Linked DNA regions of Drosophila melanogaster. The protein of the gene in region 2 interacts with the protein of the main gene of each other region in a pairwise test. Each region holds a gene or a part of one and is shown on either strand. Other genes may lie near its edges.

The links. Proteins that work in one complex are often made in the same cells at the same time.
Region 1: the proteins of CG13321 (region 2) and TwdlE interact in a two-hybrid assay, tested with the Drosophila melanogaster proteins (one large-scale study listed by BioGRID).

The regions. Positions count from the first base shown.
Region 1 is NT_033779.5:7,857,411-7,862,741, forward strand, and holds TwdlE (TweedleE), read right to left. Parts: upstream 3,430-5,331; 5' UTR 3,291-3,429; coding exon 3,273-3,290; intron 3,192-3,272; coding exon 2,971-3,191; intron 2,711-2,970; exon of another isoform or gene 1,515-2,710; coding exon 1,160-1,514; 3' UTR 547-1,159; downstream 1-546.
Region 2 is NT_033778.4:12,951,503-12,956,215, reverse strand, and holds CG13321 (uncharacterized protein), read right to left. Parts: upstream 3,105-4,713; 5' UTR 2,560-3,104; coding exon 2,553-2,559; intron 2,259-2,552; coding exon 1,867-2,258; intron 1,716-1,866; coding exon 1,554-1,715; intron 1,441-1,553; coding exon 1,141-1,440; 3' UTR 504-1,140; downstream 1-503. Other genes in the region: CG44250 (uncharacterized protein), read left to right, coding at 4,040-4,043, 4,338-4,370; CG44251 (uncharacterized protein), read left to right, coding at 4,040-4,043.

The DNA.
Region 1 (5,331 bases), on a different chromosome or scaffold from region 2:
AAGATGGAGGGTCAACTATCTGACCTACAGGAAGCATTGACTAGTATAACGACGTCGCTGAAGAATATGTCTGCGAAAATAAATATTTTACATAGGTTCAAGCGAATCGGATCGAGATATTTGCACATCGAAGACATAGTCCAACAAAATTGGACCAGTGCTTTGAGCGCATGTCAAAAGATGGGAGGTAATCTAGCCTCAATTATAAATGAAGCAGACTTTAATGCTATCGTTTCGCAACTAAGCAAAGACAACACTTATATGATTGGCATTAGTGATCTGGCTGAAAAGGGCGTTTTCATATCTGTGTCCTCCGGAAAGAGAGCACCTTTTTTGAAATGGAATCCTGGAGAGCCACTATACGAACATGTAGATCAGCGTTGCGTTTCTATACATAACGGTGGCATGTGGGTTGCTTCTTGTACTTCTGATTTCAAATACATTTGCGAGGCAAATGAAAATGTATAGTAAACAGATATATATAAATATATGTACACATATGTTAAGACTTGCAATGTGAAACATACAAAAAGAAATCCATCTTGTACAGATAATTCGTTAAACTTTTATTTAGCCATTGATGTTTTGTGTTTTTAACATTATATACTTGAGTATCATTTTAATCTTCATTTTTTTTTGTTGCATTTCGAGTGCTTCGCACATTCTATTTAATGACAAATCGTGTGCGAAATGTGCAATATGAAATTGGAATAAATTGCCTACTTGAAAATGCGTTTGTGATGAAAATCATGTACCACGTATATATCGTTAATCGGTATCAGGATCGATATCTCTATCGATAACTAAGGCTAGCTCGCAGTGAGTGTTTCGAGTGTTTTGTGTGAGTGTATAACGCATCGTTCGCTTAAAGACCTAGACTTAAGACTAAACAAACAATTTGAAACAAACAGCCTAGATGGAAAACATACTTCTCGTACATCAGGTAGAAACAACATCAGAGATAAGAATTACTCATCTATAGGAGTAATAATCCTATGAGCTGGGTGTGGAGAGGGGATGGGGGAGATTCGTTGCTTGGTAAACTTTGTCACGCGTTAAGGTCCTTGAAACAGAAAATAATACAATACACATAAGATATGCAGTTTGCCATGAGTTGGGTTGAGATAAGCAAATCGGTATTCGGGTTGGACTGGATCGCCTAGTGGGATGGTGCCCCATACGAGCTGCTGGGAGCAGAGGGTGCGGGCGGGGCAGCTGGAGCTCCGTACTCGGGCGCTGGAGGCGCCACACTGTTGGGATAGGGTCCGGTCTCCTCCTTCTGGGTCTTGTAGCGGATGAAGTACACCTCCGGCTTGCTGGGTTGGGTGGGAGCTGGCGTTGGGATAATGATCTCCGGCTGCTCCTCCGGCTTCTTGACTAGCACGTACACCAGGGTCTTCTCTTCGTTCTGTGGGAACTGCGGTATTACAGGGGCGGTCGGTACTGGTGGAGATGGCGCCTTGATGAAGACGATCTTGTAGTGCTTCTGCGGAGGTGGCACGTAAAGGGGTTTCCTGGGAAAATATTTAAAAATGTATTTAAATAAAGGTTCTGCTATATCTGTATTTAAGGAATTTCTTAGGAATTCTATGGGTAAAGTAAGACACCACATCCTCATATAACGCAACTTTTTTTGCTTCCGGCTTGTAAAAATTTACATACTGAATAAAAAAATTTCAATTACACACGGCCAGGCTGGAATGACTTTCCACACTTCCTATAACCTTGCCTTGTTGAACGAACAAATACCGCGATGCGGGAGAAAGGAGTTTCTCTTTGAGGTGCATGCAAATGGCATGCCCATAAATGGTGACCTCCCGAAAATGGTGACCTCCCGACAACGTTGAACCCACTGCAGCTGCTTGTCAGTTTTACTAATCAGATGAAGATGATGACTATTGTGACGATGACAGCGATTGTCACAACAACCGCCTCGAGACGAGGGTTTACATAAAGCTACCTATGGTAATCGAGTTCCTGTCCCTCTGCGCCTGATAATTTGCTTGGAAATGGTACTGAGATATATACGAGTACAAGTGCTGCGGCGAGCTTAGGTAACGTTTTAGTCACGGTTTGGCGGTCTGCAAAGCCATATCATTCCCCTCTCGTGGTAATTAACATCGCTTCCAACTCCAATTGAAAACAGACAGAAGACGACAGAAAACATTGTATCAGCGAAAAGAGAGGAAAGTTGGATGGCTTTCGTTTTCGCGGGTATTAAATAATGTTCCTCCTCCGTTTAAGCGACCCTCTAAATACCCTGGAAATGTGGCAACAGCTGTGGAAAAGGGCCCTGAGCTGGATTAGATGATTGCCGGCTGGTCTCTTGCAACATTTGTCTAGTTATTATCTTTGGGAGTTGACGGCACTGCCTGGTTTACGCCGATGAATTGTGAGAGAATCTGCATAAGTGCCTTGGATTATATACTCATAACACAACAATGTGTTTTTTCCCCATATTTTTCCAATCTTAAGTGGAACAAGACAAATAAAGCGAGATCGTTTGTAACCGCTCACAATCACGCAAGTCGAAAAAAAAGTGTGCTGGATAAGGGGTGTGAATAATTTGAACTGATTACGTTGTGAAATGAAAAAAACCGCAGGATGTACGTTTATATTGTACGGCTTATCAGAAGAAATTCTCGATTGTTCACTCACTCACTGTGTTGGGAGTGTAGTGCGATTTCTATTTTGTGAAACTATGCAAAATAAATAATTTTACTATTACTTAAACTCTTAAATACGTATCTTTTGTGATTAAACTGAATGTGTCTAAAATAACATTTTTAAAGATTTTTTCCATTTTTAGGTCTGATATAATTATCATCTAGTATAGACAAAAATTTTAAACGAGTATGCATAGATCCTTTTCCGGAACTTGGTTGAAGAATAGGTTTATTGGGAACCCTATTCTACTCGCGATCTTTGGAACTTATGTTGGCTTAGAGGATCCTTGATCCTGCCACTCACCTGGGTGCCTGGTATTCCGGCTCTGGTGGAGGTACATGGACGTAGACGTGCTTGTGAATCACCGGCGCCTGCTGGGGAGGTCCGTACTGGGGCGCAGGGGCGCCGTAGCCTCCGCTGGGTCCACTTGGCTGGTAGCTGCTGGAGGGGGGCGCACTGTACGAGTCACGAGGCGGCTCTGGACGAGCGGCCACCAGGGCAGCCAGGGCCATGAGGACCACTAACTGCGAACGAGATCGGAGGAGAACACACCATTAAGCGATGTCCATCACGGCCACTTGGTCGGTTTGGTCACAAGATCATACCACACAACTGGAATGCATTTTCGGGTGGCTTATTTCGGGTATATCCGTTTCGGGTTTTGTCACTGCTCCAGGTGGCTAGGTGCTACTGGCTGTTACTGGTTACTGGTTACTGGCAATGTGGTGCTGCTTCGACGCGGAACCTCTTACTGCATGCCACAACGATTGTTGCAGTTTCTTTTATAGCAGCGCAGCGCGTGAAATAAAAATTAAGTAAAATTCAAGACGACGATCAAGACCGCTGCTGCTTTAGCCGCCTCAGCTGCCTCAGCTGCTGCCGCAGTCGACCGAGCAGTCGGCCAAGTTGGCTGAGCAGTTGGCAAAGAGCGGCAGCAGCATGTAGCCATGAAGAAATTGAAATGTTTAAGCCAAGTCCAAAGTTTGGCCAGTCATGATCTGGTGGGGAAACTGAGGCTGCAGCTCCTGGCTGCGATGCAAACGGCGACCGCAAAGCCAACCGAAACTGCAACGTCTGCTGACCGTTTCTTGGCTTTGGCTTTCCTCCTTCGATTAACTACTTCTTTTTCGTGGTTTTTCGAGCATGTGGTTGGTTGTTTTTTTTTTTCTGTTTTTCTGCCCAACTAGGATTATTTTCATGGGGAAAATAAGGAACCTGAAAGGTGCAGTGTATGTATGTAAAATAAAGCTTGAGGCAGCAAGGCCATCAAATAGTTTTTTATGGTTTTTATTTCTGAAGACACTTAGCTGCTGGAATGTAGCTTATTTCAAGGGTCCATTATTTTCAAGGCAAGAAAATAAAAGCCTTTTTTGCGGTAACCTCAGCTTTAACGATTTCCTGCTTAATTTAAGAATATCTGAGAATATCTGTTCTCTTATTATTAATTTATCACGCCTTTTGTTCTTTTATCATTAAAAGAAAATGCCTCTCTTAGCTTAGATAGTTTAATTATTAAAGGCAAGTCATATTTTGTAATATTTAATTTATAAATATGTCTTGTGCATTTTTTTCCCTCGCCCATTTAAAACATTTGTATAGATTCGCTGTAGAGTACAACTCCTTCGAACTGATTGCCAAAGAAACATGGTTTTTCCTAAAATCTCTGATTTCTGTTATTTATATATAAATATATATATATATGTGCTTTATTATATATATGTAGCTAATGTGTGTAAATTGTTATTTTGGTCATTTAGAGGATCCAATCGCAGTGGACTCGTAACCAAGTCTGGACTCTGGATCGGATCGTGTGGCACGATTCACTTTCAATTTCAATGAATGTGGATTCACTCTCATTTAGCCAGCCGTTTTGGGGAATGGGTTGGTATAGTATGGTATGGTATGGTTTGGGATCAGATGGGATGGGGCTAAGCTTTGTTTTGTGCTCTGGAGTGGGACTGAATCTGGTGTTGGTTTTATTTCATTTCTTCATGCTCTTTCGGCCTTTTGTTAGCCAGCTTCTTTCGGTGTTTTGGGTTGTGTTGTGTGTTGGCTTGAGTTGACTTGGCCTGGCTTGTTGTTATTATTATTGTTACTGTTATTGTTATTGTTTTACTGGCTATGTTGCTTTTGTAATTGCTGTCCGCGTTTTGGACACGAAGCTTCATAATGAGCTTCACGCTCTTGTTGGGTCGACCCATCTGTACAGGCATTTTATTTAATTTTTCTCCTCTGGTTTTTTTGTTTTTGCAATATTTTGAATTTCTTCAATTTGTTTTTTTTTTTATCTCTGGCAAGTTTTAGTGTTGTTTTTGGGTTGCTTTTCTTATTTAATAATTTACGCCCCGGCCATGACAATTAGCGTTAGAGAAGAGTGATGGATAAAATTATGATTGGCAAAATGTTTTGCAACTTTTCCATGGCTCATAGCCCCCAAAGTAATAGCTAGCTTTTTTCCTGATTTATGCACATAATCTATAAATGGCAATCAGCATTTTTGCATCGGTTGCAAGCGATCCTTGGCCGCATTTTGGGGCCACTCCTGCACAATCGCTGCCGGAATTTTGCTTTATGAAATGGCATAATCAGTGACGACCAGTGGCGCCAAACGGAGGACGACACCGTAAACCGTAGACCCAGGCACCGAGTAAGATACCCAGCAGC
Region 2 (4,713 bases):
CTTGTAAATGAAATGTGATAGGAAACGCCTTGTCTTGGCCACCTGCCACTTTTAGTTGGCCACGTCCACAGACTGAGAAACTTGCTACAGAAGACCAATTAAGTTCGAGGTCGGGAGCGGCCGGATTTCCAGTTAGCCAATGAAAACATAGCGCTGCCGACGACGGTAACAAACGACCAATGACAAGCAAGCAGTAAGGGCGAGCGCGAGTGAGAGCAAGCGAGTGCGGCTGAGGGGAAAAAAAATAAGATATTCGACCCTGGGGGTGTATCTTTACATAAAGTCTACGCGCCATGTAGAGAGTCAATCGAAAGCTCTGGAAAAGCTTGCAAAACAAAGCATAACTTCAGGTGTAACGAATTTTTTGGTTGTATGAGATTATCGCCCTTCTTGACGAGATCATTTGAGTTGTATATATCGGAAATCAAAATAGCCTTTCCACAGAAGAAGAACTTATAAAAAAGGTTCCCGTTGTTGTTAAAACATCAATACTAAAATTGATTAGAATCATATTTTATTTCTTTTCTTTATTCCGTTTTACCCAATTTCTCATTTCCCTACGAGAAGCTTTTGCGAGGAAATATACATATTCCAGCAAAATTCAATCCATATTAATAACCAAGACCAGGGATTCTCCAAAAGTCTAGAAACCATTAAACTGGCGGTGAACCACCACACTGACTTTTAGTAATAGTTCTCTCTTGATTACTGGAGTTCGCCGAAATCGGTCGACTAGAAGTCAAAAGGCGTAGTGACCCCGGTCTATCATCAACTCACTTGTGGCAGCTGCTGGATTTTCGTGCCTGGAGAGTCATTGTCCGAATTTGACAGCTATGGAAACCAGGGATGACTGGACAAGCTGTCCTTGTTTTTGCTGCGATGCCAATAAACTTGAGCATAACTTAATTCGCTATAGAGTAGCGTTCATAGCAGGCGATTATTAAATATATAGAATATATCAAATATGTTAAAACAAATTACTTGTGTTTACCAAGCAACAACAATGAGCTGTCTTGTCATTTTTCATTAAAATTTCGGACATTTGGTTTATCAGAGGACGTTTTTAATGAAACAAAATGATTTATAAATTAGTAGGCAGACGACGGGGGGACAACACAAAAGTCTAGTCGCTGTAGCAGCTCAGCCCTTGACCAGGACCTCGTAGTGGTCGATGCGGACCTCCTCGCCGTCGAATGGGATGTAGAGGCAATGGTGTGACTGGTGGATCTTGCCGGGAGTGAGGCTGCCGTGGTGGTGGGCACGGCCGATGAACAGGGGCTCTCCGTCGGAAGTGCGGCCGCAGAGAACGGCATTGCCGGGCACATTGCCATGGCTGTCGTGCACCCATCCGTACCCGTATCCGGCCAGCAGCTCGTAGTCGTGCTTCACAACCTCACCGCCTCCGTAGGGCACATAGGCACAGCCCTTGTTGGGGATCACCTGTGGTGGATAAGTGGATAGATAAAGTGGGATGCAACAGAACAGATTTAAAGATGGAATGCTCCAAGTGTACATTTTCGGAACACGAGCTGTATATAGTTTAAGGTTCTCACCTTGGCTGGCAGCAAATCGCCCTCGTGGTAGGCGCGACCCACATAGATCTGATCGCCATCGGCGTCGTGTCCGCCAACCACTGTTCCGGGAACAATGCCGCGTCCGCTAGAGGCTATCCACGTCTCGGGCTGGACCAGCACTTCATAGGCTTCCAGACGGTGCTGAAATGATATAAGATAAAAGTGATTTACTAAGATTTATCACATTGCAAACACTGCTTGTGCGATTCGTCACTACGTGGTCTTCGAACGTTATTGTTGAGGGGATGAAGGGAATCCATCAACATAACATCAAAGTGAGGGTTAGACCTACCTCCTGTCCGCCGTAGGGGATGTACAAACACTGGTGCGAGGGATGGACCTTGCCGGGGGTGAGGCTGCCCTGGAAGTAACCACGGCCCACGTACAGGGGCTCACCCTCGCCAGTCTGGCCCACTTGGATGGCATGGGGCGGGACAGATCCACCACTGGACGGGATCCAGGAGAAGTGATCACCGACAAGGACCTCGAAGTCATGCTTGCTGATCTCCTGACCGCCCCATGGCACATAGGCCTGCTGCTTGCCGGGCACCACCTTCGCTGGCAGCATCTCTCCATTGTGGTAGGCACGGCCCACAAAGATGGGATCCTGGTCGGAGTCGTGGCCAGCTAGGATGGCTCCTGGGGGCAGGGATCCGTAAACGTTGGTGCTAATCCAGGTGTAGTCTGAGGGCGAATAAAATATATATATAGAGCAAGGTCAGAGGCGATAAGTTAACTTGGGCCAACGAGGGCCAACTGTACACCATTAATCAGCCACAGTAGAGGTTTTTTGTCTTTTATTTGTCAGGGTGTAGAATCGCTGGATCTATGGAAAGCTACCAAAGCTCCAAGGGATTTCGGCTGTCAGGTGCGCGGAGTATCGATGACACTTGCCCACTTGTCACGACTAATTGCGGCACTATGCTTTCGTTTTCGCCAGAATTATCTTAGTCACTAACTTTGCACTTCAGTTCTCACCTCCCATGTTGTATTTGTGTGCTTTTTTTGTATGTTGATTTAGGTCTGGAACGTGATGTTATATACTCGCTGGCTCCGCTATGTTTGGGCTGACTTCAACGACTGGTCGCTACCCGCACATCGGTTGCGCCTTAAAAGCTGTTGTTTCCGCTTATCAGTTCGGCAAGTTAGCCGGCAGTGATAAGATATCTTAGTCACACTGCTCTGAACCGTTCGATTGTGTGTGTTCCACAAAGGTATCCTCATGTCGTAGAGGGTGTTCGTCATTGCGACCAACTGACAGGTGTGTCAGAATGTATATTGGATGATTTTGTTTGGTAAAAACAATTTAAATTCTGGGTTAAACAGGAAGCGCAACCAAAATTACTCAATCGATCTTGTGCATGAATATTTGTTTTTGTTTTTGCGGGTTTTATCTATAAGCAGTTGGCTACGAATCTTATCGCCGGTAGTCAAAAATAAACTTCATCAATAAGTTCGTAAAAGATTATATGTATGAGGGTGGCTGTCCATGGATCAACTATAAGTTCAGGAATGCTTTTCTAGAACAAAAATAAGAACCAACATGTAAACAGTTACCTAACCTTCTTGTGGATTATTCAAATCATAAACCTAATAATTGAGAAACCTTTGGAAAACTAACTGTAACTGTTGTAAAGTTACAGACACTTGTTTGGTCTAAAGATGAGTCAATTGCGATATAAAGTTATTGATATCGTTACCGCTGAGTCACATATGTATATTTATACTTTTTAATGCCTTTTATGCCTTACATAAATGCATACATACATATGTCCTTTGAAATCAGTTTGTTTGTTATTACAAAGAAATTATTAATTAAAAGAGATAAAATAAGCACATACATTACACTAAAGGTTTAAAGATTATTTTTAATATTTCAGTAGGTAAAAAATAATTCAAAATGAATGATCCTTTTTCTATTAAAAGTACAAATTTTCGACATGCTTATCGCCCCTTCAACGGGGGGGATTTTTTGAGCATGGGCGCTTCTGGCAGGCGTCATATTGTTTATGGGTCTATTTAATTGGGGTTCCACCTGTTGAGAGGGCACAACAATAACATTTAAAACAATGTCCACATGCTTCGATTTACTTGTTTTTTTCTTTTACTCCCAAAAGTACCGCCTGTTTGGGCCAATGATTCATTTTCGATCGATAAATGGAATGCTTTTCTGGAAATGGAGCTTTCGAGACTGGAAGTTAAAATTAGTGATAGCAAAGGTCCCAATATCAACTGCACTTCTTTTTTTATATATGTACAAATGCGAATTGAAAGATAAAAGCTCGCCGATAAGAAGCAGTGACGAATCGCTCTGGTTCGGTTTTTAAACGTCAGGCTTTTGCAAACCAATAGTTTAGTGAAAAGACAAACTTTGGTCAGTTCAGACGCATTTTGGAGTCAGAAGAACGCAAGTGAATAAAAGAAACTATTTTTCATAGGAATAACTTATCAACAATTAACGCACAATGGGTAAGTAGAATGAGTAACCTCTGATAAGTGCAACCAAAAAAAAAAAAATGATTTTGCAATGCCAAAGTCTAATGAAATAAGTGTAATTTACCTTCAAGATCATCAAAATCAAAAAATATATTGTTGCATATTAGCTTAATTAAATTCAATTTCCCAATTACGGGCGAAGAAATCCGCAAGTGCTGACCAATTCTGTTGGTATTGCGATTTTTTTCTCTGTGCACATTAGCCGGAAGAAAAGCAAAGAGCATTGAGTGACTTCTACAGTTCTCCGCCTTTCTTTGCTCTTTCCAGGCGCCGTGCAGCCAGGAGGAGTTGTGACCGTTGGTAGGACGAGTGCAGTGAGCCCAGGGTGAAACCCCTACGCCTCTGTGAAACCCCAAATCCCATTTGATCCCCGCCCCCAGACCACCTAGGCCACCCAAAACCACCCAAACCCGCAAAACCGTACAGCAAGCCAAATATGTACACGGAGAAAAAGCTATGAGAGTATGAGTATAGAGTGAATCATTATATTGTACATTGTACTTAATTTTTAATCAAAACCGTATCCATTTAATAATGCAGCTTCGGGATGATAAATGTTTACCTTTTGAAAAAGTACGAAGTTAGTAAATCTTAATCTTTTTTTTTTTAATAACAATATATAATATCTATCAAGACAATATTA